Linked DNA regions of Macaca fascicularis. The protein of the gene in region 2 binds, or shares a complex with, the protein of the main gene of each other region. Links are inferred from orthologs where the notes say so. Each region holds a gene or a part of one and is shown on either strand. Other genes may lie near its edges.

Evidence for each region. The genes of interacting proteins can lie anywhere in the genome.
Region 1: ANP32A (region 2) and nucleoside diphosphate kinase A share a complex: the UniProt entries of both Homo sapiens proteins name them as parts of the SET complex. The link is inferred for Macaca fascicularis from reciprocal best matches to the Homo sapiens genes ANP32A and NME1.

Annotation. Positions count from the first base shown.
Region 1 is NC_088390.1:55,553,380-55,557,517, forward strand, and holds the start of nucleoside diphosphate kinase A, read right to left. Parts: upstream 2,801-4,138; 5' UTR 2,747-2,800; exon of another isoform or gene 2,685-2,746; intron 782-2,684; 5' UTR 778-781; coding exon 652-777; intron 1-651. UniProt on the Homo sapiens protein: Major role in the synthesis of nucleoside triphosphates other than ATP. The ATP gamma phosphate is transferred to the NDP beta phosphate via a ping-pong mechanism, using a phosphorylated active-site intermediate.
Region 2 is NC_088381.1:45,550,564-45,554,063, forward strand, and holds part of ANP32A (acidic leucine-rich nuclear phosphoprotein 32 family member A), read right to left. Parts: intron 3,185-3,500; coding exon 2,986-3,184; intron 1,632-2,985; coding exon 1,534-1,631; intron 1-1,533. UniProt on the Homo sapiens protein: Multifunctional protein that is involved in the regulation of many processes including tumor suppression, apoptosis, cell cycle progression or transcription. Promotes apoptosis by favouring the activation of caspase-9/CASP9 and allowing apoptosome formation.

The sequences.
Region 1 (4,138 bases), on a different chromosome or scaffold from region 2:
AGTGCTGGGATTACAGGCATGAGCCACTGTGCCTCGCCCAGCCAAGAATTTGAATTTTTATCTCTAGAATGTGTTTAAAGAGGGGTTACTGGTCAATCAATCCCTTGCATTTATCAGAAGATTGCTTTGTAAGTAGCTTGCAGGTACATCTGCTCTCTGCTATTTCAGGAGAACCTTCCCAAAACCAAAACCATAGTTTTCCTCCACAAGCTCCTATGGTACCTAATAAATGCTAGACAATAAGCATTGATGGGTGTCTAGTAATTGCTGATGGAAGATTTTCTTGCTAAAAACACAACCTGTCTCAAAGGGGGAAAAAAATCTCTCTAAAATTATCTGCTCAGGAAGCTCAAGACCAAGAACTCAAACATGCTCAGCTGAGTCACAAATTACAGAGATGCAGTCATATGTGGAACTCTGCACTGCTTTTCCCATAGCAATGCACCTCATATTACAGAGACTATTTTGGAAAATCCTAAACGTAGCCAAACGCTAGGGCACTGAGGTGTTTCCAGGTCTCTAGATACTTGTGTCCACTCTGTCCCTCTACCATGAAGAAGTTTAAATAAGAAAGCCGGGGAGAAACAGGTTAATCACAGTGTTCTCCCATACTATGAAGAAATCAAAATGGGAACAATGAAGTCCACTTACTTGCATGAATTTCAGACCAACAAGGCGGAATCCTTTCTGCTCAAAACGCTTGATAATCTCTCCGACAAGACCCCGCTGGACCCCATCTGGTTTGATGGCAATGAAGGTCCGCTCACAGTTGGCCATGGTCCTGGGGATAGGCAGGTAGAGGAATGAAACGGCGCTGAATCACTTGCCTACATCGTCATCCTCCTCAAGCGGATTATCCCATAAAGCTGGTTCAAATCTGTCAGGTCAGCTGCAGGTCTCCCTCTGCTAAAAACCCAGTTCCTCCCCAGTCCCCTCATCTATGAACAAATATGTCAATGTGGGAAAGGATCCAAAAGCAAGGACTATAATTTCTATCCCATTTGATTTATTTTATTTTTGTTTTGGTTTTTGTGGTTTTTTTAGAGATGGGGTTTCGCCATGTTGCCCAGGCTGGTCTCAAACTCCTGTCCTCAACTGATCCACCCACCTCAGCCTACCAAAGTGCTGGGATTATGGCCATAAGCCACCGCGCCCAGCCCCTTTTTTTTTTTTTTGGTATGGGGTCTTGCTCTGTCGCCCAGGATGGAATGCAGTGGCGCGACCTCGGCTCACTGCAACCTCCACTTCCCAGGCAAGCTATTCTCCTACCTCAACCTCCTGAATAGCTGGGACTACAGGCGCGTGCCACCACGCCCAGCTAATTTTTGTATTTTTTTTTTTTTAGTAGAGATGGGGTTTCACTATGTTGGCCAGGCTGGTCTCCAACTCCTGACCTCAAGTAATCCACCGGCCTCAGCCCCCCAAAGTGCTGGGACTACAGGCATGAGCCCCGTGCCTGGCCACCATTTGATGTAATAAGCTTCTTTTAAGCATCTACTGTGTACCAAACACTGTGGTGGAACTAGGATACAGGAGGTAAAAACTATCTTTCTCAGTAATCAAGCTTGGGAGAAACTACACTGATACAAAGTTTTACTAATGTGAAAGTGATGTCTGGCACAAAGCAGTAAGAAATAATAGTTTGACTTAATGTCACATCCATAGCATTAGGGGTTTTAGAGAATATATCTTTACAACCCCCTTCGTTTTACAAATGAGGAAACAGGACCAGAGCACCAGAATGAAGGCCAAAACCCAGCATTCCCAACCCATTAATCCATTCTTGTAATGTATGCTACACTTTACAATGCAAAGAATATTTTGACTAGCCAATAAACGGTGGGGTGTGGGAGAGCTACAGACATTAGGAATACCTGATACGGGACATCATACTGAAAGGAAGCCTAGAGAGTACCTATTCTGTCCAGATCCCTCATTTTACAGAATACTGGCTCATGATGTACCCTGTATCACATCTTGAGATGGGAAGCCCCTCGCCTTGAAAGACAATCTCTGATGTACACAGCAGCTCCACCTATTGGCCCCACCTTCCTGTCCTTTAGTTAACCTCTTCTTACAGCATCTTAGCACCGTAGCCCAACTTTCTGTTTGTGTGTCTGCCTCCCCACCGGTCTCTGGCCTGCATACCAGGCTGATTTACTCCTGTGTAGGTCTATGGTACCTAGCCACAGGGCCTAGCAGTCAATAAGAGCAAAGAAAATCATTTATCATCACTCTGCAACTTCCAAAAAAAAAAGAGACAAAGCCCAAAGACTGCGGAGAATCGCCCGATGGGGTGCGGGGCAAGAATATTGTCCAGGAGAAAACAGGACTAAAGTGCCAGAAATAGATCCTAAAAATGTCCCTCCACATCGATCCCGGTGACACAACAGTAAGCACTCAGTCCTTGCTGAATGAATGACACACACGCCCGTCATTTATTCAGCAAGGCCTTATAGAACGCCAACTCCGTTCCCGGCACTGCTCTCGACAGAGGCAAATAAGGCACAGCCCTGTCGTCGCGGCCTGACGAGAAAGGCGGCCACCGACAAAGGAGAGTCCATGTGGCATGGGATGTGCGCCGACCGGTCTGCACTTGTCCACAGGCGCTCCCTGCCCCTCCTCCCATCCGATCCTCCTCGCCGCCTCTTAGAGCTGAACTGACCTCTTCACTAACTCCTCACCTAACTCTCTCCGGCGACTACACTCCTTTCCTTTCCCTCTCAGGATCCCGAACACCTCTTACCCTTCCAGCTGGTTAGTCTTGAACTCCGGCTGCAGCCGCCGGAACCCGAAACGCGCCGGGGACCCACGTGGTTCGCAGCACTCGCACGCACGGAACGCTTCCGCGCAGATCCGCTGCCGGAGAGCCCATTTTGCAGAACACCGCTCGCCCACGCTTCCTCTTGGGAGTAGGCAGTCATTCTAGGGAACAACTTTCTGCTGTTTAACTTCCGGCGCCAGCTTTTTCAGACCTTTCCGGTTAGCTGCTTGCTTTCTTCCCTCCACCCCCGGGTTCTCTGACTCACTTCCTTTGTTCGCGAGCAAATTGGCTTCCCGAGAGGTGGCGCTCACACTTTGCATGACGTCCAAAAAGCGCCTGACCTAGAAGTAAACTTTTCGCTCCCGCTTTGTGTTTATTCACCTTTTCTAACCTGTCAAGCAAAAGATTTTATTGAATACCTACTATGTGGACGCATTATTCTAGGCCCTAGGGATACAACAGTATGCTTTCTTGGAGCTTCTGGGAGGGACAGGAGTATAGGAAAACAAGAAACAGATAAGCAAATTAATATGTAATAGATCTCATTATGTAAGTGCTGTGAAGAAAAGGCCAGAGAAATCTCTGAGGAAGTGATAATAGAATGGACCTGCATGAAGTGAGCGAGCCAGCCCAGTGATTCCCTGAGAGCCAAGTATTACAGTGGATATCGAGTGGTAGAAAATGCCGTTAGAATAGAGCCAAATCTTACGCTGTGAGATGCCAATACGGATTTTGCACAAGGCATCACATCATCACTGACATACTTTTTCAAAAAAACATTCCCACTGCTCTCAGGGGAGAGGTACAAAAATGGAATCAGGAGCCTTTTCAACAAATGATGCTGGGTAAATTGGACAAATATAGACCCAAAGAACCTCAACCTAAACCTCACACCTTATACAAAATTCACTCAAAATGAACCATAGATTTAAACATAAAACAATAAATCACTGATGGGGAAAAAAAAAGAGTTAAAAAAAATTCTCAGGACCTAGGGCCAGGCAAATAGTTTTTAGACGACACCAAAAGACCAATCTATAAAAGGAAAAAGTTGATAAATTGGAACGTACTGAAATTTAAAACTTTTTTGGCCTAGCACGGTGGCTCACGCCCGTAATCCCAGCACATTGGGAAGCGGCGGCGGGAGGATCACTTGAGCTCAGGAATTCGAGACCAGCCTGGGCAACATGGTGAAACCTCGTCTCTACTAAAAACACAAAAATTAGCAGGGCGTGGTTGCAGGCGCCTGTAGTCCCAGCTACTCGGGAGGCTGAGGCAGGAGAATCGCTTGAACCCGGGAGGCAGAGGTTGCAGTGAGTCGAGATTGCGCCAGGGCACTCCAGCCTGGGTGACAGAGCGAGACTCGGTCTCTAA
Region 2 (3,500 bases):
AGGAAGGGGAAGACGAAACAGCTATTAGCCAATACAACTTACTGCCCTGTTGTAGGGAAACCTGTTTTACTAAGACTTTATTTTTAAAATACAATATTCTTTAGAGATGAGCCTAAGAGTCTAGACCTAGGGAGAAGACAAAGTCAGCAGCACAACTAAACAGAAACCAAGCTCATCTCGCCAGCTTTTTTTTTTGGACTGAGTCTCGTTCTATTGCCCAGGCTGGAGTGCAGTGGTGCCATCTTGGCTCACTGCAACCTCTGCCTCCCAGGTTCAAGTGATTCTCGTGCCCCAGCCTCCTGCGTAGCTGGAATTGCAGGTGTCCGTCAACATGCCTGGCTAATTTTTATATTTTTAGTAGAGAAGGAGTCTCGCCATGTTGCCTAGACTGGCCTCGAACTCCTGACCTCAAGCGATCTGCTCACCTCGGCCTCCCAAAGTGTTAGGATTATAGGCATAAGCCACCGCGCCTGGCCTCCGCTTTTCTATTGTCATTGGCCTGTGTCTCTCAAGCCTGGGCCGGCTGGCTGAAACTGGAAGACACTATCTGAGTGAGTCCGTGTGGCAAGCGGATGTGTCTGCATCCTCCATTGAGGGAGACAGGAAACTGCGGGGGGAGTTGGGAGGGGACACAGGTACCTTGTCCATGCTATTGTCACTTTAAAACTCTCTAGGTCTAACTTCTGCAATTAGCAAGAGTTGATTTAGAATTCTGAGCAAGTTATAGAAAATGACTCTGCTACAGAGAGACTCAGAACACACAAACACAAAACCCAACACAGTGCCAGGAACCTGGAGGAGGGTGTGAACGCCTACAATAAGCAGTCAGACACTTACCCCTTGTCAGACATTGTCCTTAAGCATTTTACTTACACTTCACTTTATCCTCTTAACAACCCTGTGAGAAAGCTATCATGATCCCTGTTTTACAGATGAAGAAATAGGCTCAGAAAGGTCAGGTAAATTGTCCGGGGACACACAGCTAGTAAGTGGTAGATCTAGGACTCACCCCCTCACAGATCTTGTTAAAAAACTGGGAACCAGCCAATCTGTTTAGGAAAATGGCCAACTCCTGACGCTCTATTTCCATAGTGTCACTCTCTGATTTGGGATCCAGCAGTGTTATCCTGCTACCTATCAGTTCAAGGCAGTCTTTGGTTTTCCCCAGCACAGTTTAAGTGCTCAATGAATATCTTAATTAGCATATGAAAGCAAAAAGCAGAAAATGGGGTCATGCATTCTGTACTTCTTCACACAGAAACAATGGCCAGGCTTACCCCAGCAGGTTCAGTCCCTGCCTCTAAAATCCTCTTCCCCTCTTCTAATCCAGCCTCCCCAGAGCTTGCTGCAAGTCTTGTCTCCCCAGAAACAGTCCAGTGAAAGGCTCTGAAATGGACTCACTTCACTACCCACGGGGGAGCGACTTTCCTAACCAGGGCTCCAGGGTTGCCAAGACTGATCACAGAGGCAGTCAGTGGGACTGCCTCAAAGGGGCAGACGGTGGCCCTGCCCAGCCCAGCCCAGCCTCCTTACCTCCTCCTCTCCACTCACGTCCTCCTCTTCACCTTCCTCCTCCTCATCCTCGTCCTCCTCGTCTTCCACTACCTGAGCATCTTCATCATACTCCTCCTCTGTGCAATGGAAATGGGGAATGGAAACAGAACTAGTGGTGAGCTGGCTCCGCCCCCACATAGCACAGGCCCCTGTAGCGTCTTCAGTGTGGGGCTCACGACCCTGCCACACCCACCTAAGCCCAAAGATTGAACACACTAACTCTCATGAAAACAATGCCGACATAATTAAACACATCCTGAAGTTGTGCCAAAGATAAGCCCCCCCTCACAAGTGTTATGAATGTGAAAGACCCCTTCTGGAGGTCTCTCACACTGAGACCACCAGGAAATTGTCAGAGCGGAACAATAAGTTCCAGGGCCCGGGAGAGCGGCAAGGTCAATCCAAACTCCTCACATTAAAGGTGAGAGATCCGAGGCACAGAGAGAACTGACTTGTTCAAGGTCACACATTGAGTCACTGGTTGAGCTGGGCCTAGGGGACCTGGTACTGGGACTGCCAGTTTTGGCTCCTTTCTGCCATATCACAAGATCCCCACCAAGGCAAACACGGTCTCTGAGTATCTTGCAAAACACTCCCAATTGAACAAGGAAAACCAAAATCCTGTATCTGAATCAATCAGGCAAGTGTCTCCATTCTCAACTTTATCTGGCCACGAAGACCCATGGGAAAGCTGCACTGTGCTGGTGGCAAGGGAGAAGGGGATGTAACAGGACGAAGAACCCCATTCTTTTCCCTCTTTCCTTCCTGTAGGCCGCGACTGCACACCACACTGCCAGGGAACCCTACAGGCGGCCTGCAGCCCTCAACTTCCCAGCACTTGTGGCTCCTGAGCACCTGAGCCAGTGCCCCTAAGTGTGGGGCTGTGGGCTGCAACTACCAGGGGGCCCCACAACCCCTCTAGCTCTGGACCTCCTCTCCACTACTGAATACCTAGACAGGAAAGGGGGGTCTACACCCTCTTCTCTCTCTATCCCCTCCCTCCCTCCCTGAGAGAGTGTCTAAGTGCGGGTCACACTATAGGATGACAGTAGAATACCACTCCCTGAAGGGCTTTGGAAAGGGACAAAAATTGAAGTGGGGATTCAGCTGGATGATTTTAAAGGAGTTATTACGCAGTTGGAGAATCTCAGGATATTTCCATGAGCATGGGACTCATACTTTGTTCTTTTAGGGAAGACAACCAATGAGACAGGTTAGGGACTATGGAAAATAAAGCAGACAGCCCCACTCCCCTCCCTAGCTTTGGAAGGAGGTAGCTGCCAGCTAGCCAGCCAGCCAGCCAGCCAGCCAGCCTTCAGTAGCTGGGTGGGGGCCTCCCAACACCCAGCCCACCCACCTCTGCAAAGCCAAGGAGGAGCCCCAAGGCCTCAGCTGGGCCCCTGCAGCCCTGGGCCACCCCCTGTCACCCACCATCCTCATCCTCCTCCTCGTCATCCAGGCCCTCCACGTAGCCCTCAGCATCCGAGTCAGGGGCCTCCTTGTCGTCTCGGTCGTAGCCGTCGAGATATGTGAGCTGCGGGAGGAGCTTGAACACATTTTCTCGGTAGTCGTTCAGGTTGGTTACCTCGCAATTGAAAAGGTCTAAGCTCTTGAGGTTTTCTAACTTTTTCTGCAAGTGGAAAAATGAAACCAACAGTAAGTGATTTGTGGGAGGAAGGCGGGGGAACAGCCCTAGCAAAAAGGCAAGGATGCCATGAGATACAGTGGACAGACCACGACTTCCAGGTGATAAGGAAGCTTGGATTTGGCTCTGCTTAGCCACAGTGTTTGCCCAGACTTATCACCTGCAATTTGTGGGCCTCAGTGTCTCCATCTGGAAAATACGGGGTTGGACTGGAGGATCTTTGAAGCCTTATCTAATGTTAACACTTTTATTTTGCAATTATAGCTTCTCTTAACAGTGATTGACTTGAAATTAGCCTGGG